Danio rerio: one gene and its partners. The protein of the gene in region 6 binds, or shares a complex with, the protein of the main gene of each other region. Links are inferred from orthologs where the notes say so. Each region holds a gene or a part of one and is shown on either strand. Other genes may lie near its edges. The genes, in order: lin54, lin52, tfdp1a, lin9, rbl1 and mybl1.

What was found.
Region 1: mybl1 (region 6) and lin54 share a complex: the UniProt entries of both Homo sapiens proteins name them as parts of the DREAM complex. The link is inferred for Danio rerio from reciprocal best matches to the Homo sapiens genes MYBL1 and LIN54.
Region 2: mybl1 (region 6) and lin52 share a complex: the UniProt entries of both Homo sapiens proteins name them as parts of the DREAM complex. The link is inferred for Danio rerio from reciprocal best matches to the Homo sapiens genes MYBL1 and LIN52.
Region 3: mybl1 (region 6) and tfdp1a share a complex: the UniProt entries of both Homo sapiens proteins name them as parts of the DREAM complex. The link is inferred for Danio rerio from reciprocal best matches to the Homo sapiens genes MYBL1 and TFDP1.
Region 4: mybl1 (region 6) and lin9 share a complex: the UniProt entries of both Homo sapiens proteins name them as parts of the DREAM complex. The link is inferred for Danio rerio from reciprocal best matches to the Homo sapiens genes MYBL1 and LIN9.
Region 5: mybl1 (region 6) and rbl1 share a complex: the UniProt entries of both Homo sapiens proteins name them as parts of the DREAM complex. The link is inferred for Danio rerio from reciprocal best matches to the Homo sapiens genes MYBL1 and RBL1.

What each region holds. Positions count from the first base shown.
Region 1 is NC_133185.1:12,005,142-12,008,641, forward strand, and holds part of lin54 (protein lin-54 homolog), read right to left. Parts: intron 1,507-3,500; 5' UTR 1,484-1,506; coding exon 851-1,483; intron 1-850. UniProt on the Homo sapiens protein: Component of the DREAM complex, a multiprotein complex that can both act as a transcription activator or repressor depending on the context. In G0 phase, the complex binds to more than 800 promoters and is required for repression of E2F target genes.
Region 2 is NC_133192.1:33,276,441-33,280,692, forward strand, and holds the start of lin52 (protein lin-52 homolog), read right to left. Parts: upstream 2,801-4,252; 5' UTR 2,789-2,800; coding exon 2,770-2,788; intron 2,182-2,769; coding exon 2,107-2,181; intron 1,948-2,106; coding exon 1,910-1,947; intron 1,834-1,909; coding exon 1,767-1,833; intron 840-1,766; coding exon 756-839; intron 1-755.
Region 3 is NC_133184.1:36,641,782-36,645,987, reverse strand, and holds the start of tfdp1a (transcription factor Dp-1a), read right to left. Parts: upstream 2,801-4,206; 5' UTR 2,713-2,800; exon of another isoform or gene 1,358-2,712; intron 1-1,357. UniProt on the Homo sapiens protein: Can stimulate E2F-dependent transcription.
Region 4 is NC_133195.1:47,003,051-47,006,550, reverse strand, and holds part of lin9 (protein lin-9 homolog), read right to left. Parts: intron 2,469-3,500; coding exon 2,364-2,468; intron 166-2,363; coding exon 35-165; intron 1-34. UniProt on the Homo sapiens protein: Acts as a tumor suppressor. Inhibits DNA synthesis. Its ability to inhibit oncogenic transformation is mediated through its association with RB1. Plays a role in the expression of genes required for the G1/S transition.
Region 5 is NC_133181.1:54,220,306-54,224,602, forward strand, and holds the start of rbl1 (retinoblastoma-like protein 1), read right to left. Parts: upstream 2,801-4,297; 5' UTR 2,697-2,800; coding exon 2,538-2,696; intron 1-2,537. UniProt on the Homo sapiens protein: Key regulator of entry into cell division. Directly involved in heterochromatin formation by maintaining overall chromatin structure and, in particular, that of constitutive heterochromatin by stabilizing histone methylation.
Region 6 is NC_133199.1:27,718,927-27,722,426, reverse strand, and holds part of mybl1 (myb-related protein A), read right to left. Parts: intron 2,285-3,500; coding exon 2,064-2,284; intron 1,976-2,063; coding exon 1,789-1,975; intron 1-1,788. UniProt on the Homo sapiens protein: Transcription factor that specifically recognizes the sequence 5'-YAAC[GT]G-3'.

The DNA of each region.
Region 1 (3,500 bases), on a different chromosome or scaffold from region 6:
TTAGTATTATTAATAATAATAATAATTACAATAATAATCATCATCATTATCATCAACAACAACATCATTATTATTAATATTATTTTTTAAAGTAGGATTTTTTCTCATTTCATAATATTAAATATTAAATTTCATTTCTTAATGGCCTCATTATGAATTTATATGATTTTTAAATGAGATGCGTATCAGGTATCAGAATACGCATTAGGTTTTGTAAGTGATTTTATGTTTTAGAATAGAATATGTAATGTTCTCAATAATATTTGTGAAGGAAACATTGGTCCTATATGTTCCATTTGCATATATTTCAATTAATATGGAAAACGAGTGCATGTTTTTACCAAAACTAATATTGCACTTATTTTAAATGCTTGTACGTGTAAAATAATATAATTTGCACAAAGAAATTATGGAGTTTTTCTCTAGAGAAGTTGTTACCACCCCGTTTAGAGCATCATTATGGACGATTTACATTATAGCTAACGTGGTTCTAACAATGGCTCTGCGACAGAGCAACTGCGTGTTTTGGGAAGCACTCGACACTGTATCGTCCTTTTCCCAAACGATGCATCGTACTATAAGAGCTCAGCCGCAAATTACGTGATTGTTTGGGAATGCACCCCTTTCAAGACCATTTTATTATTTACGTCCCTCAAAATTGTCTACAGACTCCATTGGATAAATATCCAATACAATCCATTTTAATGTTACAAATGGTACAATCACTTGTGCCTGAATACTTTAAATTCTCTAATATATTAAAAATATTAAAAAATCATAAACTCTGTGGCTATATTGTGTAGCTCTAATTAGCAATATTACAGTGTAAGTCTGGGCGGAGATTACCCACCTGCAGTGTCTTGAGGTGCTGTGCCTGCAGTGGTGTGGATGAAGCCACCAGCTGACTGGCTGAGCTCACTGCGATCACAGGCTTACCCATCGCCGTCACCATCTTGATCTGCGTGGGCTGGCTCTTGGCATCACCTGAGCCCTGGCTGGTGGCCGGCTTGTTCCAAGCGTGGGGCAGAGCCAGCATAATGGGCTGCCCTGTTTTACTGAGCCCGGCAACCAGCAGTTTCTGGCCCTCCTGCTTTATCACTGCGCCGCCCGGAGACTTTCCATCTGCCGCCACTTTATTGATGATGAGCTGGTGGTTTGGCGGGACGGAAAGGCTGGGAATTTTGGGGAGGGTCGGAGTGGCGTTTTTTGTAGTGGTGGAGGAGGATGATGATGGGGTGAGTAGGAGTTGAGTTGTGGAACTGGTGGTACTTTTAGCATTGGTGGAGATGGCCTGCATAGACGCGGTGGTTGGACAAATGCTAATGATTTCAGGCACCTCTGTTTCCATTGGTACCTGCGCCGACTCTGGGGCAGATTGGGGCGGAGGGGTAAGATGTGAAGCAGGCGGATCTTCATCCATTGCCTCTGTATCCATGATCTCATCAGGGAGGAGGCTGTTGAGCTCAGGAGACACCACATCCATTCTGCAGAGTTACCGAAAACACACTGGAGAAAAATATAGATACATATGAAACAAAGTTAGAATATATCAGTGATCAAGTATGAAAAAGTATCATGTGCACTAGACAGACAGATAACCGGTCTCAAGGTTTGCTGAGAGGTCTGTTTGAAAAGGTCAAGGTTTTAAAAACGCAGAATGTTTCTGTTATATTGTTTCCAAGTAAGGATTCAACAATTAAGCGATTTCCCTATTAACCGCGATTGAATTCGTCATGGTTAATTATTTGTAAAGGCCTCTCAACACCGTAAACAGAGTTATGCCAACTGTGCGCTAGTTTAAAGTTCCAAAATTGTAAACTGAGGCTAAAACCCACGCACACAGGATTAACTATGGCTGAGGCTCTTAATTAAGGGCCATTCAGATATCGCATCTTATGTGCACGCAAGTTTGTTATTTTCAGTGGAGGTGCGCGTCTTTTGTGCGAAAATTGGCGGGACGCAACACGCTCACGCACACTTTCCAGGCAAACCTTGTTGAAAGAATGACATGAACGCACTGTGACAACTGGAACAATCAGCTTCATACTTCGTATAGAATATGCACATTTCTATTCCAAAGAGAAAAAAATAATAATGAAAAATACAGAACAATTTTGCAACAGATTAAAAGTGCCTTTCAGACATCGGTTCAGCAGCCATTGACTACATTTGTTCTCTCTAAAAGAGAAATACCTAGCTAATATGATTTACATTAGACAAATACATTTTAATTATTCAGATTTATTTATGCATTGTTCTGTCATTTATTTTCAGTGTAAAATTATTATTTATGTTCAAATGCCAAAAACTTTTTTTCACTTATGTTTAAGTGAAAAGAAAAATGGACTATTGTTTGTTTTTTATTTTTATGCTGTATTAATTGGTTACTAAACAGCAATAAACAGCACTTTAAAATATAAGGAGTTTTCATGTAATTTACAAGTAGTATTTTAAAATTGCATAATAATCGTGATAACCTTGAAACCGTGATTATTCCTTAGACTATAATTGTGCTATTAAAATCTATAATAGTTGCATTCCTATTCCTAAGCTACTGTATGTTAAGTTTTGTCTATTTATCTTTTTAAGGAAATCAGTGTTTTGAAACTAATAAAGCTGAAGTAAATGATTTATTTGAATAATAGTCTGACATGTTTACTGTTCCAAAATATTATAAAGGTTTCCTAAAATGAAATGTATTGTGTTCAATGGGGGAAAAATAGATGTTGTTTTTCACTAAGACATTTTTTAAAGAAGTTATTTTAGAGCAGTACTAATATTTGATTACAAATACAGTAATATTAAATGTAGTTTTTAAATATATATTCCTAGTTTTTTGTTTTAAAATGCTAAAAAATAATTTATGAGATTTATTGGGCTTTTGAAAAGTAATTTATTTTTTACTCTAGAGTCATTCTCTGAAGACAAAGTTTTTTTTTCCAAAGATGAAAACTTGTGATGCATACTTTTGTTTAATGCAAACAGTTTGTCATACCCTATAAGAAAATATGGCTATTTTATATATTTGTATTTATATGTTTTCTGTATGGCCCAATACAGAAAATCTAACCCAATATCTGTTAGTTTTATTTAAAATATTATTCTATATATCTCATTATAATTATTATTTTACATTTTTTATTTGTATTTTGCCCTAAATATTGTTTTTAATGCAAAAATTTATAATAATATTTTTGATTCAGAGGAAGAAAATGTGAACTAATTTTGTTATCTGTTGATAGACTGGAACAACTGAGGTGCGACTGATTCATTATTTTTGAAACTGTAACTGACTATTATGCATCAATAAAAAAGGAGTTAAACTAAAAAATTGTATATCACTAAAAAGCCTAATTTTTAAACGTTTTAACTAAATACAGAAATATTACATGATTCACATGATTAAAAACATTATTAAAATAATTCTATTTTTACTTTAGTGTGCGCTGTGTATATTAAATACATGCATGCAGCCGTATATTTGAGTTATTGTTTCATGC
Region 2 (4,252 bases), on a different chromosome or scaffold from region 6:
AATTTTAAATCAATATAAATGCATATCTTTGAATTATTTAAATTAACTGATGCTTTTTTTATCCTCTCTCTGTAACATTATGGAAATTATTCAAAATAGTAGAGTAAAAATCAAGTAGACAGAAAAGCATTTGACTGATTTTTCTCATTGAAGCATAGTTTGTTGAGGGCTTTCTGAGGGACATGCCACACAAAGGTCAAATCAGCAGAAGGAATGTAATACATCTGAAACGAGTGTTCACCAATGGTCTGCAGTACTCGCTTTCAAATTGTGCGATGTTTCGATGCCCATTTTCATCTAGAAAATAACTGAAACACTTATCTTTCCTGTAATCCTGCCTGCGTGGATTAATGCTACATCTAGCAATTCTGTGATATAATATTACAGAGACACTGGGCAACAAGCCAGTTCTGTTTAAATATAGAGTGGGAATTCATTTGAGACTTACAGACTGAAATAAACGAATAGAACATAACAAATAAGTGTTTTTTCCACACAAGGATTCAGATGGATTTAGGCTCCAGACTACATATAATGAATTATTTGTTGTATTGTCTTTTTAACTCTATCCTAAATATCACAGCGGCAAAAAACATGAAAAATGTCTTTATGTATTAAAAGCTGGGTTTGTGTTTGTCAGTAAGTTTTATTCTTTTTCTAATATCGCCATCTAGTGGATGACTTACAATATACCGTAACTAGATAAACAGTGTGAACTAATGCACTATTTCTGAGTTGAGTAAGACATTACTTACACTCCTCCAAGCCCAACTGGTAAGCCAGATTCTGCAGACCCTTCACCTTTTCCATCAAATTTGCTGTGGTCAAACTTCCTAATTCTAAAAAAAAAAAAGCCACAACAAACAAGTTACAAAAAATAAAATAAAAATGGACCAGAACCGAAACAAAATATTATACTGTAGCTTTTATAAATTCCAGGGTTTCTGCAGGTTTCACAAAGTTAAATTTAAGACTTCAAGACATTTTCAAGACCCTTATGAATGAAATTTTAGACTCATAAAGGACTAATCGCTAAGGAATTTTTCATATGGCCCAGATGGAAAAGATTTTTCATTTGCCCCATCAAAAAACGATTATATATTAATAATACAATTATAATTTAATAATAAAAAAATAAATATTTTAGATATTTTTTATAAAAATATTCAAATATTGTTTAAAAACAAACAAGCTCTACTTGTATACATACACTTTATTTTTCCAACATAAACTTTCTTTACAATAAAAAATGAATTAATGTTTTTAAAGTTTTAATATAACTAAATCTATGCAAAACAATCTGTCCAGGTCGGTGTCCTCAGCAGCAAATACATGGAACACTTTTTAACAAATATTATGTATTTTGAGGAAAATAATAAAACTGTTATGGTAAACAGAGTTAAAAATCACCTTTTTATATAAAAGGTTTTATTGAGATGAATTGTTGGTGATCGTATAGGACTAATGGCCAGACTGCGTAGCGATACATAAACAAAGGAAAATTAAGACCTAATTTAAAAAAAATTTAATTTAACATTTAGGAACTACAACACAATATTTCAGTAAATTTAAGACATAAAAATGTAATTTTGAGGTTTAAGACATTTTACGACTTTTTAAGACCGCGCGGACACCCTGGAATTCACCAAGCAACTCATCTAACTATTATTAACCTATTCTACTAAGCAATATATAGAAAGCATAGATAAAAGACTAAATGATACATTAAAAGACTTGATATGAATACTACTTTAAAAAAGGCAGACCTTTCAACATTTCAATATCCTCTGACTCCAGTTCAGCCATCCATTTGGGTGGAGAATTTGTAATAGGCTGAAATAACAAAAACCAAGCCTTAATTTCACATCAACTTTGAAAAGTATTCATTATCATTTGAATATTTACTCACATTTTTAAAGGATGCTGCAAATTCTGACACACCCGGCACTGTTAAAAACAAAGCGTTCAAAAATATGACAATGTGTAATAATCAAATGTAATTTCTATATTTCAATCAGTGCATTTTTTTTTACATATATTTGGAAAAATATGTTAATGTGTCATAAATATTAGTCCAACTGAATAAGATTAGAGAGTCAAACTTACACTGCTCTGGCCACAGGTCAGGTGAAGCCCGGTCAAGATTTTCTAAACTTATCAGAGAAGATTCAAAGTCCTCACCTACACATTAAAAAGATAAATGCTCTATGGTCAGAGAAAACTCATCAGCAACAGGATCAATAAACCTGAAGTACAATAAAAAATGTTAAATATACACAATTTCAATTTTAACATAACTCAGCTTAGATGACGTTACAAAAAAAAATCTTCTGTCACATATTATTCAAGGTGTAAAATTAAGCTGATGTTATGACAGAGATATTATGTTTACTCAGCTGCTAAGTTACTCAAAGCTGAGCTAGCTGCATTGAGTAATCTTGTCACAAAATAATGAGTTACATAACTAACGTTAAAGATAAAATCACGACACACCAAAAGTAATATGTCTTCGCGTATTTACTACACTATTACATTCGTATTAAATTATTACTACACAACTGATGTCGTCTGACACGTAGCTTTGCTAATGACTGGCTCCAAACAATTTTATGACGCTATTCCGACTGAAAAGCTTATTTTGATTCAGAATCCATCAGTTCTTTATAAAAAATATGCTAAACCGCATAATGATTTATATGACTTAATTAGTCCGTTGCACTATTGCGTTAACAACTAACGCTGCCAGGGAAAAGAGGAATTAAAATTTACCTCCATTCGGAGACGCCATCTTGACAACAACACACGTGATTCTAAGCAGCCAATCACTGGAGGTCTTGGATAAAATAGCCACACCCTCTTATGTTGTAAAATGATGTCGCAATAATTGACTGAAAAATATGAATATAAATATTATTGACAGCACAAACCTTTTTGTTGACCAAACTCTTCTCAGTTCTATGTCAAACAAAGTGATTCTCTTTATTGTTAACAGTTCTCTGATCTCTTTAATGGTCTTTAATGGCCTTTTCTTGATATTGATCTTGGATGGTATTCGGAAAAAATACATATTTTTATCTAATAAAGCTGTTGAAGTCTCAATCAGAATCATTCATAATTGCTACCCAATAAACAACAAACTAGGTAAATTTAATAACAATATTTCCTTCAAATGCTCATTTTGTACTCAATATGGTGAAACACTAAATCTTTTTGGCCTATTTTGGGAGTGCACTTATTGTAAAGTCATTTGGGTTGACTTTTCCAATTTCACAAAAATTGTATTATTTCCAAACTTTTGTATTTCCCACAAAAAATTATATTCTTTAGATACTTTCTGAATTCTTGTAAATTTGTAATTAATTGTTTCCCCCCCCCTAAAATTTACATCGATAAATGTAAATTTTCAAAGAAACACCCTACTTTTTTATTTTAAGAAATTACTTTATATGTGAACTCTTTAAAAGACCCTAACAGTTATATTGCATGTAAAACACTTTCTTGGTGTAAATCATTTAAACTTGTTTAATTTGCTGGAATTTTAATTATGAATTCATTTCTGTCTATTTGTTTAAACTGTGTCTTTGATAACGTTCTTTCTTGCAAAATAAGTAAAAATATATATGAATAATATGCGAACATTAATATGTTTAGCTTTCATACAGAGTACTTGAGTAGTATTATGATAGTGTTAATATAATATAAGACTCAAGACTCAGTCAGGCCAAAAAACACAGCAGAACAAACTTCTGTACAGCTACAAAAAAGGCAGTAATTATAAATAGACCAAAAATAAAAATTATTGGTAAACATAAACAAGTCTAGTTTCAGCACATTTTAACGTATCATATCAATATTTTTAACAGAGTGTTCATTTTATTTATTTTAAAACACTAAAGAAACATCATTCATTCACTGTAGCATTATTACTTTGATCAACCCATTTTCAAATGCTTTGTACATAGCATTATACGAAAAGGCCCATTTAAAAGACATTAAAAAAGGGATGGTATTGTAAAACTGGTTGAAGAAATAACTATCAACACCTCTGTACAGATCATGTCTCTAAAAGACAGAAGGTCACTTTATTATACTTGGAAAAATAAAATAATTAGTAAAATTAAATAAGTAAAATTCAAGTATAAATACAGAGCTCTTACAATGTTGGTGATTAATGAAAAACATATATATTTTCAGTCAATTGAGCCAGAAAATGTGTTGGTATCAAATGCAACACAACCTAAATCCAAATAAA
Region 3 (4,206 bases), on a different chromosome or scaffold from region 6:
TTGGGACTTGTGGAGCTGTGCATTGATGGATTTGCTCTTCAGTGTTTGGACTTTCAGTAGTAAAATTTAAACCACCCTGAACTGAACTTCAAATGTGAAATCCAGACTAACACGGTTTCAATTTACTAGAATTTCTATGTTAAGCTGCTTTGACACAATCTACAATGTAAAAGTGTTAGAGAAATAAACATTTAATACAAAAATTACATATTTTGTAAGAGAACATCCAAAACATTGCTGTGTGCTGGGCTAAACACACTTATAGTGGAAAGCCTATAAAACATGAAGGCTAAAGGAGTCAAAACTGTGACATTAAGAACTTTGATTGCAAGAAGACTCCTTTTCAAAACCTGTACTCAACCATAAGAAGCAGTATTTCTTCTAAAAATATATGTATGATAGTGCACTGTCTTTTTTGTGGTCACATATTGTGACATGTTTTAGTTTGCAAGGAAGTATATTGTGTTGCATCGCAATCATGCCAAAACCTATTTTTCCAGCAGTGATGGTCTGCTTGTTTGGTCCACAACCATGGCAGCGTTCACACTTATTCAAATGATCCAACAGAGCAACTGCACCAGAGATAATTCTAATCAAACCAAACCCACCAAGTGTCAATGAACACACCCTTACATCTTTAGCACAAGCCTAAACAATACAAGTTTACACGAATGTTTATATATTAACATCTCAATGCAGTGTTTAGCCAAGATGTTTTACTTGATGATATTATTTACATGTGGATTAAAACATCACAAGTGTATTGAGATGAGACCCAAACACTTTCAAGCACTGTGTGAATTCAAAGTTAGTTCGATTCGGTGTTTGCTAAAGAAGTCGCAATTTTTAAAATGCTGTCTAGGTAGGACGCTCACAAGGTTTGGAAACACTGTCATGGTTGATGAAAACGAGGCCCGCCAGCTCTCATGCAGCTTTTATTACCAGACAAAGACCTCGACGAATCGTATCATCTCTTTAACATCAAATCTCGAACTCCTACACCCAAACCCCTCGTGCAATATCCTGAAAAACATCCATATGCAACAGTTCCTGTCGTTTTGAGTAACTTTTCTTGCAAAAGGAAAGGGCCCTTAAATACAAAAATATCAAGTGTCTCAAGTAATAAAAAAGCGTGTAAACGCATCAAGCAGAACGATAATCTGCTTCATTCGTTTACTTTTTCCGCTCCAAACATAATGCACAATCGAAGCAGTGTGCACTATTATAAAGCGTGTTAGCCCAGTTAGCTAGCAGCCTTTCAAACACGTTTTGCAACGAACCCTGGTCCTAATTGTGATCAAAACGTGCTTCTCGTGTTTAAATGCGAGCAGATCGGGTATTGTGCATGTGCTCGTACCGTTTTGCAAACGAATCGGACTTAAATGGCCATCTGGAAATGAAGTCTGTAAACTTTCCTCTGAACTTACAGTCCTGAAGCCCTTTGCCTTCTTAGGTGCTGTTTTTGTTGGCATAGCCAGTTAGCAAGAGGACAGAGGAAGAGGAGGTCTGAAGCCCATCTCTCAAACAGGAAACAAAAATAAATCAAATAATATGAAAAATAAAAACCCATGTGCGGTGAATGAGCGTGCTTTTGAAACGAGCTTGCACTTGGGAGATGTTTGATTGTTAGATCATGGCACATTCATAAACCTCAAAATGGATGCGGATGTTTTAAGCATGCACATACAAGACGCATGCAAACTGTAAATCCCTATAAATAATTCCAAATAAAAGAACTAAAATTATCAATATATATTATATAGAGTTTAATAAAGAATAATCTTAAGCAAATATATGTATATAAACGGCCACATTATTAAGCAACACAGTTGACAGTCACAACACCTATTCAGCTGGAGGGTCACAGAATTCGTTGGCTTCAACAGCAACACAAGTTAAACAACCGATTATACTCTAAAAACGGAAAATAGCCGTTCATAATGGGACATAATTATTTGCAAACATTCATGAACTAATTGAACAAACAGGATGGTTTTGGTTTAATGCCTGGCAGCCATTTTACATGGTTGCTAAAGCAAAGCCAACATGCAGTGATGCTAGCTGAGGTGACAGGTCCTTCTGTCGTCAAAAACTACTTATTAATTGAACAAAATCCTCGTGCTTATGCGATAGTAACAATAACAACTGTTTCTTTAGTTTCAAAAGTCTTTAAAACACGCTTTAAAGCGAATTAAAATAAAACTGTTAAGCTAGCGACCAGGCGAGCTAGTAACGTCAAGCTAACTTCCACTCAAATCGAGGTCATCTCGACAGCTTTATCATAATCAATCTACGATCCCCTTACTATTGTTTATTACACGTCCAGTTTTGCCTGCCAATGCTTTTTTGTACGATCGGTAAAGATCAGGGACGATTTTCTATTGCACTACACTGACAGAAACACTTGACATGGCTTAGCATGTTGGCTAACACAAGCCATCTGAGACAGACAGTTTTAATATTTCACCTATATGATAATGAATCAGGACTGATGGTTAACAGACTAACGGCCTCAGATAGCAGATGTACAACTGCATACAGTCGCACGCTGTTGTTTTAGAACGAGTTTGCTGTCAAACGCACTTATTTTGTGTTAAATTATTACAAGCGCAGATAAAAGACAGCTTCTTTATGCACTGGTGATATATAAAAACGGAAAACATCGCTCAAAGCTGTCTGTGTGGACTCGGAGCCCCCCCTGGTCTCACTTACGGTCGGTTGCATCCGCCTTCAACTGTCTAGCGTAGAATGAATAGGAGCGCACAGTAGAACCTGCTCCCTCTCTAGGTCTGTAAAACTGAGCTTGGCGGTGTCGACGCCACGGGAAACCCGATTGGACGATGATGCTCGTGACGTCGAAAAAACGTATTACAAAAGACACGCCCGCGCTAAATTCTGATTAGACGGAGCGCTACAAAAGCTGTGTTGACATGTTCTCATTGGTTGATTATACTGGATTCCACCCACTGCGTCTGAGGGTGGAGCGTGCGTAGGTATATATGTAAATAAAGAGAATAAAAAATGGTTCATGTGTATTAAATGTCTAATATATGTTTATTAATACCACCCAATACAATAAGAACATCTGTTACCAGTGTATAAATGTCTAATTACCGCTTTCATATCACTTTCTCGGGTTATATTTTCAATTAGACCGCTTCCCCTTTGCACGGTAGTCATCCTGTTTATTTATTTAGATCTCAGTACTGTAAAAGTACTAAACATTTGAACCTAAGCTTAGATACAGACACCATATCAATTTATTACAGGTTTGTGGTGCAAAATAGTGCACTGGTATCCATTTAACTGTATTTAGGAAATGAAAAGGAAAAGGTAAACTCTTTCTTAGCTCTTTAAGTGTATTTGTTGGCTTGTTAGCCAAGTTACGATTAATAAATTGTGTTTTCATTTTAAATAATTGAGAAAAGATGTATAAAAAACAACATAAAATACGTTTAGAGGCGTTTAGTATTATGCACAAGTCAATATTTATGAAGTACAAATCATAATGTACAAATCAGCAAAATAATAAATTAGACTATTTTATTTGCTCATTATATAAAATATAAAATTGAAACTTTAAGTCATTAGGTCACATTTTGGTTTTAGGACTGTAACATGTTTATCAGTATTCATGCTGCCCCCACAGACAGGACTGTATACAGTATGTTTTATACAGATAACTAATGGAGAAGTGTTCAAAAAGGGTGTCACCATTTAGTGTCACTATCATTTTCAGGTCTCTGGGTGGGTATATTTGAAGAAGTTATTTGAATTAAATACTGTACATCAAGGGTGCCCAAACCCGGTCCTTGAGGGACGGTTTCCTCCATTTTTTAGGTGTAACCCCAATTAAACACACCTGAACTAGCTAATCAAGCTCTTTCTAGGTATACTAGAAACTTCCAGGCAGGTGGGTTAAGGAAAGTTGGAGCTAAACTATGCAGGACACCGGCCCTCCAGGACCAAGTTTGAGCACCCCTGCTGTACATTTATAAATGTCGAATTCTTACCTAAACAGAGTACATAAACACAGTTAGGTAGCAGTGGTGTAAAGTAACTAATTACAAATACTCAAATTACTGAAAATTGAGTAATTTTTCTCAGAAATTGTAATTTACCAAGAAGTTTTATAAATGTGTACTTTTACTGTCCCTTGAGTACATTTTTAGTGCAGTATCGGTACTTTTACTTCTTTGCTTCAAC
Region 4 (3,500 bases), on a different chromosome or scaffold from region 6:
ATACAAAGCAAACATAGTGATCTGCAAAACATACCTGTCGATATTTGAATAGAACCACTCATAGATGCACCATTTGTGTGCTTTGGGTAGTTTGAGCAGGTTTCTTAGTCTCAGCCCAATTTTCTGAGAAACTCTTTTATCTGGGGTTGCGACGTTTGTAAGTTTCTACAGAGGCAAACATTCAGAATCAGAAAATGCAAATAGACTGATCTTCATGACAGCCGGTTTCAGATTAAAAAAACGATCCTGTAAAGGAGATGGAATTGTTATAATCGATGAGAAATAGACAAAAATATGGAGGAATCAATGGAAATGTTTTAAACGACAGAAATGGAGAGAGTTTAATTGGAAGAGTTTAATAAGGTATGGGTTGTTTTCACATGATGTCATTGAAGATGTGCAAAATTCAGATGGAGGGCAGAAAGTGATTCTTCTTTATAAGAATCACTATCAAGACATTAAAATGTTTATGTTTTATGTTGTTTATAATTGTTTAAATCGGCTAATATAAGAAATGCAGAACAGTTTTCATAGACTAATAAGAGTTTTTGCTTATAAATGGGAGAAAGTTACAGAAAGTGGCTGAAAAAACAGAAAAAGGCGGCATGAAGTAAACATTTTTTCAATAAATCTATCCGTACAAACTTTTTTGGACATGATAATTCACTTGAAAGTTCTAATAAAGATTATATACAGGCCTAGCTATATGTAAATATGTTAAAGTGTTATATGAAAATCATATAAAAACACCACCACACTTATACAACATTCAGGAGAATATAAATAACGTACCCTGCCATGTAATCGCTGCAATGAAATCTCCATCTTGTAATAAATAATACTAGTCTTTACTGGCGTTTTGGTGGAATAAACAACAGTAACGTTAACATCGAGATGCGGAGCAGCGGTAAATGTTTGTTGATGGTATGTTCATCAACAGAACAAAAAAGAAATGCAACCTTTGAGACAAAACTAGACGGTTATTATTGTGGAGCACTTTTCCCCCTTACAAATATAAACGACATAAATAATAATGTAGATATTATGCTTTTGTATGCTTTCATCTGTTATTTTGTGATCTCTGGAGGATATCCGCATAGGGAAAATACAGAATACTGTAGCATATTAAACTGATAAACTGTAATAAACACCATAATGTTCATGTAAATTGTGGTGTACTGTGATGGTGTGAAATTATAGGGTAAAAAAACGAAAGCCTATTGAAAAAATTTGATTATTACTACTGTTGTGTTGTACCACAGCAACAACATAATTACTACGACCGTTTAATTCAAGTTAATATAGCATGCTTCCAAACACTTCCAAATTTACTATAGTATTTTTTTCATGTAACGTAATAGCTTATACAGTATATACTGCATTGATGACAGGCAAATATATTTGAGTTCAGTAGAAAACTCTGCCCTCTTCATGATATAAGGATCCTGCCCAACATATGTGGTGGTGTATTTATATCTCCTTTGAAATATGGTATAAATCAGAAAAATACAGACTTTCCTCTTTCTCCCATTCAGTTATTTTACTTCCTTCATGCCCTCCATCTGAATTTTGCAGAACCAAGTGATTGCAAACAACCTATTATATTACACCCTCCCAGAAATCACATTATGCTGAAAATGTGTCTATATGCTGGAGGAAATGTGCAAATCAAGATGTGAATCACTATCACAGTGTCTGGGACTGCTCTGTTATTCAAAACTACAGGAAAGAAATACAAAGAGCCTTATAAAATATATTTACATCTGTGACCAGGCCTTTGATTTGATTTATTTTTTGGATGTATATATGAGAAATGGTTCAAAAGAGAAAAATATTTAATGAATATTATGCTGGTGGCTGTCAAAAAGAGTATTACCAACAAAAATGGCTGTCCATCCCTAAATTGATGGATGGAAATTACAATTAAATGTATAAAATGGGACAAATTACCAGATTTGTAAATCAGGAAAGGAAACAACTTATTTAATCCTGGAAAAAATTGAGCAATTATGCATGAAATTGTAGACCTGAACTCTTTTGTTATTAAAAATCTGATACAATGGATGACTGCCTACATGTACATGACTATTTTCTCTGGAGTTGATTGTTTTTGTAGCGGACATTAGCTTATTTTTTCTTTCTTATTTCCTTTTATTTCTATGTATAACATATGTTTACATGTGCACAGAGAAAAAAGCATATATTGCTAAAAGAGAAAGCGGATGTGCAGTAAGTGCGCTTATATTTGAGAGTATATTCAGATGTATGATCTCTAACATGTATCTGATGTAAATGTACTACTATTTAAGAAAATAAAAACATAATTATATTGAAAAAAAAAAGATCCTGGATCTCTCTCTGACCTGAGGCATAGTGGTAACCCTCTGGCTCCTCCTGGGAGATCTGGAGGCAATCGGCCGCTCCTCATCCTCACATGACAGTCGACTCCTCTTAGAGCTCCGTGTTGGCTGAAGTAAACAGCAAACGGGACTTATTTAGAAACAGTAAACATTAACACTGTTCACACTTGTAATCTGGTCCTTATGGTTTGGGCTGGGGATGTCATGTCATTCAACCGCCATGTGTAGATTAACTAAAATTGTTAACCGTAATTTGTTAGTGACATGACAGAGTGTAAATGACACTTAGATCTCAAGTATCCTCACACAAAGAAAAATTTTGTACTGTAAATAAAAAAAAAAGTCTAGTAAGATTGTGTTCCTTCAAGAATTAACACTTTAATAGAACTACTTAAATGTAATAGCATAGAAGTTAAAAGCACACAAGTATTGATATGTATCCTGCAATACTGAAAGCTGGGCCAACCAGACAAAAACGTTCTTATGGAAAATCCTAAATATAAAGCATGTAAATAATGTAGGGAGAATTATGAATGAAATTTAATATTGACAATTAACAGCGTCCTTCGGTCATTGTTTGTCAGTCAAATTTAAATTCCCCCTCCACTGTACAAAAATAGAAATGTCCAACTATTTGGACAACTCCGCACTTTGCTCATACGAGTGCTTTTTTCTTCTTTTTTCTTCTTTATTGCTCGAATTGAGGCAGCAGCTCTGAAAACGAAACTGTCCAACTGACTATTTTTATTTGCTGGACAAGAAAGGAGATTGTAAGTAGGTTTAAAAAAATGAGTAGTGAAAAAGTGATGTTAAAATAATCGCATTGTTTTCAATATTGAATAAAAATCCTTATTTGCCAGTTTTTTATTGTAGCTAAAGTTTTGGTGATTATTTGTATTTTAAACGTTAACTTGCTAGAAATTAAAAAATAATAGCAGCAAGACATTTGTTAATTATTTGCAGTTTATTACCTTAAACATCAAAACTTTATGTAAATGGACTGAATTCAATATACTTCTGCCTGCATTCATGGGATAAAAAATTCAGAGGGAAAATCTGTATTTTTGTAATGTTGAATGATAAGATCTGTGTTCTATGACAAAGTAAATGCTCTAGCACTTTGGATTTACATATACATAC
Region 5 (4,297 bases), on a different chromosome or scaffold from region 6:
AAATGAAAACAAACATTATACTGTTATTATTAATATTTCAAGATGAACATTTACTGGAATAAAGTTGCGTTAGTAATTAAATTACTTTAACGTGATTTATTTTTTCGGAAAATGATATTTATATTTACTGATATTTATATGTATTTTATGCAAGTATGCTGTTATTAAAAACAATGTAAATGTAACTATATCAATAACACTAAGTGCACAGTATCAATAAACAAGTCCATATAGCAGCTGATTTTAAACAAATTACACCTATGAATAAAATGAATGTATTCAAGTTTTGAACTTCTTTGCCTCACTATATCAAACAATATTTGCAACAAAAAGAATGCATTATTTACTTTATTACTTTAATACATATAACGGAGTAGCAATAGTAGCAATTCCAGCATTATGGATGTGACATTTGTAGTAAAATCTTAAAACATAAATTCAGAGAGGAAGTATATGTTAACATTATATTGAATCATCTGGTAATACTTATCAGAACAACTGACCACAGAGTTATGGGATCAGAAAAAGATCAATATGTAAACATTTTTTTCTATTTTGAATTAGGGAAATAAATATGCGTTATGGATGTGATGAAAAAAGTCTGTGAGTTTACAGTAAACATCATGCTTTGTAGAAATTCTGTGGATTAAACTACACAACCCAAAAAAAACCAATCCAAATCAAAAAGATAAGAGTCGGCTGTCTGTAGAACAAAAAGAATTGACTTGATTGGATGTGACACCTCTCTGTTATGGATGTGACAGATGTGAAATTGCCACTTGTGTGTCTTTTGTAAATCCAATATAACTTTTTGAAAACATTGACAGAGGCATTTGAGAATTTTAAAGCAATGTAAAATACAAGCCTACACAATAAATGCAGAAACGGTTTTGCTGTTTGAGCGAATACATAACTCTTTTCATGGCAAGGTTATTTTCATGGAATTGCTCATATATATATATATATATATATATATATATATATATATATATATATATATATATATGTGTGTGTGTGTGTGTGTGTGTGTGTGTGTGTGTGTGTGTGTGTGTGTGTGTTTTGGGGCAACCTAAACGTGTTACATTGAACCCATCTAAATTTGTAAAAAGAATTAAGTTAACTTAATCGATTTGAGTTGGGACAACATGAAGGAATGTGTTCGAGATTGTTCAGATTGTGTTAAACTCAACATTTTTGCACTGTTCTGTGCTTGTAAAAAGGCACACCAATAGAATCAGATATTTTAAAATAAGTACCTTGGTAGGTTTACCATTGTATTCTTGAAAACATCATTTAAAAAAATGTTTAGTTAATATGGTAACGTTATATTATATAGTTATTACTGTGACATTCATATAACGTTATCATAGTTATTTATATGAGCAATTACATGCAAATGTCAACCTTAACATGAAAAAAAATGTGTGTTCGCCATAATAGCAAAATCATTTCTTCGTTTTTTTGTATAGGTTTCTATTTTACGGTGCTTAAAAATACTCAAAAATGTCTCAATTATATTTGATTTACCAAAGTCACACAAGTTGCAATTTTTACATCCGTCACATCCATAACAAAGAGACATCACATCAATAACAAAGCTTTTTCCTTATCATATATTTAAATCATTCTGTTTAATTCACAGAATTTCTACAAAGTATGTTGTATACTGTAAACTCGAAGACTTTTTTTGTCATATCCATCACGCATGTTTATTTTCCTCATTTCAAATAGAAAAAATGTTGACAGATTGATATTTTTTGATCCCATAACTCTGTGGTTAGCTGTTTTGGAAAATATAAACAGATGTTTCAATATAATGTTAACATATACCTTCTCTCTGAATTTATCCAGGTCTCTCTGACCTCGATACGAAATTGACAGAACAACTGCATTCTTTCCCTTTAAAGTAGAGTTCCCAACTATGTCACATGACACAAACACAAGGGGAAGTCTCAATCATATTAGAAGCGCAACAACATATGTATTGTTTCCTAATGTAACATATGACCCGGCTATTATTATAATGAATACACTCAAAAACTTACTTTTGCAGCTTGTTCAAACTACTTACTTAAAATCAGCCCAAACAACACAATTCTTAAGATGTTTTGAGACAACATAAGTGTTTTACGTAGAATCCACTTATATTTGTAAAAACAATCACGCTCTAAATCGATTTGAGTTGGGACAACATGACGGATTTGTGTTGAACCCAGCATTTTTACACTGTATTTGGGTTTATAAGTTGGCACACCAACTAAGTCGGATTTTTTAAAATATGTAACTTATTGTGGTAAGTACACCATTGCATTCTTGAATACACAGTTTACAAACATTATATAAATGTTATAACTGTATACCGACACTGAACATTCATATAACGTTAGCAGTTACTTCAGAAAATTTCGCAATAACATTAAATGGAACCTCTTATTTAGACAACATTACTGATTATTTTGATCATTTCAGAATTACAACAAAAAAGATAATCTGCTCCTGTCATTAGTTTGTCGTGTAAATGTGATCTAAAGTCAAACCTCCAGCGTGTAAGTGTTCCAGATGGATCTGAAGTTCTGAAGCGCTTCAGCTGCCGTCTCTTCGTCCATATTGAGCTCCTGACAAAGCGCCTCGAAATTACTCCGGATCGAGCCATCGGCTGATCTGACGGACTCTGTATCCGTTTCATCCCCACGCATAGCTGGAATCTGTTAAAATCCGTTAAATGTCCCAAAAAAATGTGTTCGGGTTAAACACGGAGTTTACCCGGGGCGCCGCTGACCTCCTGATGCTATCCCACAATGCCGAGATACTCGAATGGCGCGAAAACTGGCCCCTCTCGGCCAATGGGAGAATAGGGTGAGATGGCGTCATTACAACAACAAAGACGACAGAGGCAGCATGGAGGATTTAAACTTCCATACAAGAGTTTACCAAACGCGTTACATATGGTTCGTCTGACCAACATGATCCGTTTTGCGTTCATTTAGGCAGGTATGCGTGTAATATTATGAAACACCGAGAGCAAAGATAATTAGGAATGTCTTTGCAAGATTATTTTATCGTTTGTTCACTTGTTTGGTCTTATATTATTACGCGTCATGCATTATTTATCCCCGAATATGTGCTAATGTTCTATTTAGTACATTTTTGATTAGTTAACATATACACATTTTTAATTATATAATAGTATGTTTTAAGTGCAGTTATTATTCCATAGATAGAATATTTCTGCTTTGGGTCCCCCATATTGTGTCATATAGAAATTACATAAAGTATGGCACCATTTGTTATTTTATTCTAACATAAACGTAAAATGACAATATATTAATGTGTAAAACATAATTTCTATTCTATTCTTTGAACCACACTAAACGTATGATATGGTAGGCCTATTTGATATATTTGTCAATATAAATGTAATTTAGAGTAAATATAAAGCAACATTCTTATAATTTCTACTCTACTGACTTCGTTATGCGTGTGAAAGGCTCTATTTGTACCACATAATTAATCTAACCATGAATTACATTTATTAATACTGTACATTAGAATATTGTTTTACATAGAGAGCCAGTAAATCTCATTACAGCCTGATTCATCTCATAAAACACATTTTAAATGAACTGTACCGAGCTTAAAACATAATTAAATTTAACAGATTTGACCAGAGTTTCTAGCTTTTCCACTTATTGTGTCTGATACACTGACAAAAGTCGTTGCATATCCAAGTTTTAGGAACAACAAATAATAATTTGACTTCTAGTTGATCATTTGGTATCAGAAGTGGCTTGAATGAAAGGCAAAGGCCTCTAGATTACACTTATTTCACCAATATAAAATATAATCATGCCTTGATTTTTCATTAGGACAGTAAGGTCTGACTTTGCTCAGACAAAAGTCTTGTGACTTAACATAAAATAATGTACAGTATAGAATATAAAACATGCTGCAGTGGAAACAGAATGAATATTGTGTATGACTCCCATGAGCTTGGAGGACTGCATCCATACATCTCTGCAATGATTCAAATACCGCATTAATAAAGTCATCTGGAGTGGCAAAGAAAGCGTTCTTGCAGGACTCCCAGAGTTCATCAAGATTCTTTGGATTAATCTTCAATGCCTCCTCCATCTTACCCCAGACATGATCAATAATGTTAATATCTGGTGACTGGGCTGGCCAATCCTTGAGCACCTTGACCTTCTTTGCTTTCAGGAACTTTGATGTGGAGGCTGAAGTATAAGGAGGAGTGCTATTCTGCTGAAGAGTTTGCCCTCTTCTGTGGTTTGTAATGTAA
Region 6 (3,500 bases):
GCTTCCAAACTCATCTACAACTACACCAAAACGTTGATCACACTACAAACAAGTCATAACTAGAAAGCTGTAAGAAAGAGAAGATAATCATTTATTGTTTACCTGGTCTTTTGTCAATGATTAGCTCATCTCATCTGACAGGTCTTTAAATTTGAGTGGTTTGTTCTTGTTACACAGACAGTCCCATATATGCTTAACCAACGCACACAGTCTTGACGAAAGGAGTCTATCACATAATAAAAGACCGACTCAAACCGAGGACTCCAGAAATGAACAGATCAAATCTTTTTCCGGGTCTGACTACATATGATTGGCTCCTGTCTTTCATGTGATGAACGAATTACTCAAACTGAGGACTCGAGAGTTGAACTGATTAAATATTTTTCTCGCTCTGACTGCAAATGATTGGCTTCTGTCTTTCATGTGACGAATGAACAACTCAAACCCGATAGAAGGCTTGAAAAAGGAACTAATCTTCTGCTATACCTGCATAAATCTGAGCATATGCGAATGAACAAATCTCTGAGAGGACTCAACGTTCTCGAATCATTCAAGAACAACCCATCACTACTAGTGTTGTATAGGACTGAAGGGCTTTATTCTGCTAAAACAACCAACCTGGATGTACTTTTTCTTGCTCATCACATAGCTACCTGCCACAAACAAAAAAAAATAAAAAAATCACACACAAAACCTTGTTCTGAGGTGTAATAGTTTAGTAATTCTTTGTTTAAGTGCAAATCTGACAGAAACTAAAACAGCTGATAGAGTATACACTAACCAGCACACTATTCAACCACAAGATGGCAACAAACAGTCAAAACGCAAAGCTGACAGAAATTAAACCCGTTGAATAATACTAACCGTATTATTCATAAACAAGATGGTGCCAAACAGTCAAAAACCGCAATGTGACAGACAAGCAGATACAAATAAATGAAGATATGTATATGGATTTGAACTTATTTACTGACAGTCAATGTGATTCACAATTGCTGGATGAGCCTGCATTATTTAGTGGTTATCTCGAGATAACATACCTTGAAATGTTGTGACTGCCCACATAGCAAAATTTCTCTGGCCCAGCTCTGGCCCACACAATCAGGTTTTGCTTGGCCCACATGCCGCAGTGAATTACGGTACATGACTGGACCAAATCTGGCTTCCAGACAAGGGCCAAACACGGACCATATCTGGTCCAAGTCTCAGCCAAGTTAATAACTCATAACTGGGCCTGAACTGGGCCAGATAGGTTGGTGTGTCACGATTGCAATGAAATTGATAAACCCATGGAGTGATGCGCTTTAGGCACACTATGGGCATGCTTTTTCTCAAAGTGACCTGATTGGTAGAATTTTTTTTCTTTACTCAAAAATGATTTTAGTGTATTTTAAATGTGGGTCAAGACTGGCCAAACTCAAATGGCCCACTTATCACATTTTTAATCTGGGCCAAATACTACGTTTTTTATCTGGCCCAAATCTTGTGTGCCGCCTTAAAGACGGTGCCACCTCTGCCAAACCCGGTACATGTTTGGCCCACATGCTGTATGCCAGTGCCGGATGAATGCCTGCTATGCCAGCTTTATGCCAAATCTGGGCCAGAATTCTTTGCTACTAGGGTGACCAATCAGAATGGAGTATTCCAGACAGCCGTGTAATAATGCAGAATACGTAATTTATAAGTCCTAACAAACAACAAATATCTTAATAGTCACTAGTTAATAGTGAGAATGAATCCCTAAACTAATTAAAGTTGCTTTAGCGACAGATTCAAATGTGTTATCACCTGTGATTGGCCGCTCAATATTGGCTGATTCTGGTCATGTGGATATTCCACAGTCGGGCTGGATTTGGGACGTTTCTTCTGGCCTGGATCACTGTTGTAGCTCTTGTTGCCCTCTTGTAAGTAACCCTCATGCTCCACCTTCCTGCGCATGGTGGAGTTCCAATGGTTCTTAATGGAGTTGTCCGTTCTATAAGAGTGAAGTAACGTCAATCTCCAGCCTATATAAGCACACAGGCATCCTTCTATATTCAGCACAGATTTAGACTGATTTTTACCTTCCAGGCAAGAGCTTTGAGATCTCAGCCCAGCGGTTACCCAGACGTTTGTGTGCTTCATAGATAATGCGATCCTCTTCCTGGGTCCAGGAGGATTTTTTCACTTCTGGGTTGAGGTGATTGTGCCAGCGCTCTCTGCATTGTTTGCCTATGCGCCCTTGTAAGTGCTTAGCAATCACTGACCACCGTTTGGGTCCATATTTATGAACAAGCTCAATCACCTGTAGAGATGTTCAGAATAAACACTTTGTCATCTAACAATGTTTGATGCTGATATAAAACATTAAACTGAATAAAACTGGAGCGGCACGGTGACGCAATGGGTAGCATGTTCGCCTCACAGCAAGAAGGTCGCTAGTTCGAGCCTTGGCTGGGTCAGTTGGAGTTTCTGTGTGAACTGGAGTTAGCCTGTTCTCCCCTTGTTCGTGTGGGTTTCCTCCGGGTGCTCCCCGACAAGTACAAAAATGTGGTATAGGTGAATTGGGAAGGCTAAATTGTGTGTAGTGTTGTGTAGTGTTTGTGTATGATGTTTCCCAGTTATGGGTTGCAGCTAAAAGGGCATCCGCTGCGTAAAACATAAGCTGGATAAGTTGGCGGTTCATTCCGCTGTGGCGACCCCAGATTAATAAAGGGACTAAGACGAAAAGAAAATGAATGAATCAAACTAGCAAAGTTTGACATTATGTTTATAGATTATAAAATGTAGTTGTTAAATTTATAGATTTTATAAAATATTGTCTTTGCTGAAAACTACCATATAAATGACCCTTTCAACCATTTTCCAAAATATGTCAGGATCATTTAGTCTTTACCAAATAAAAACAGTTATGGCTAGTCTTTGAGCTAACATAATATTGCACAAACTATTATTTTAAAGTGAGCTAAAGTCAGTTTTGAATCTATTTATCTATCTATATATGAACTATTTTCCCAGTAATGGGTTGCAGCTGGAAGGGCATCTGCTGTGTAAAACATATGCCGCAATAGTTGGCAGTTTATTCCGCTGTAGCGACTTCTGTAATAGAGACTAAGCTGAAGGAAAATTAATGAATGAATATATCAATTATTTTAAATCATAACTATTTTGAAAAAGCATTTTTACCTTATTTAAATAAATTTGGGATGGTTTAAACTGATCATAAGTGACACTAAAACATAAAAATATATATCCAAAATTAAGCAAAAAGTGCTCAGGGGTAGCTTAAATAATGTGTCATGCTCTGGGTAAGGGATTCAGCAGAATAAAAAGCAAAAGTCAGTCCAAGGCACTCGAAAAATGTGGAAAAAATATGAAAAAGTCTTTATTAACATAGTTATTCCTCAATACTGCGCCAACGCGTTTCGGCAAACACTTGCTTTCATCAGGGTTACAGAAATCAGGTGCATTTGAAGTTTCTTTTGAATAAAGGTCTGCCTCAGACTGACTTTTGTTGTTTA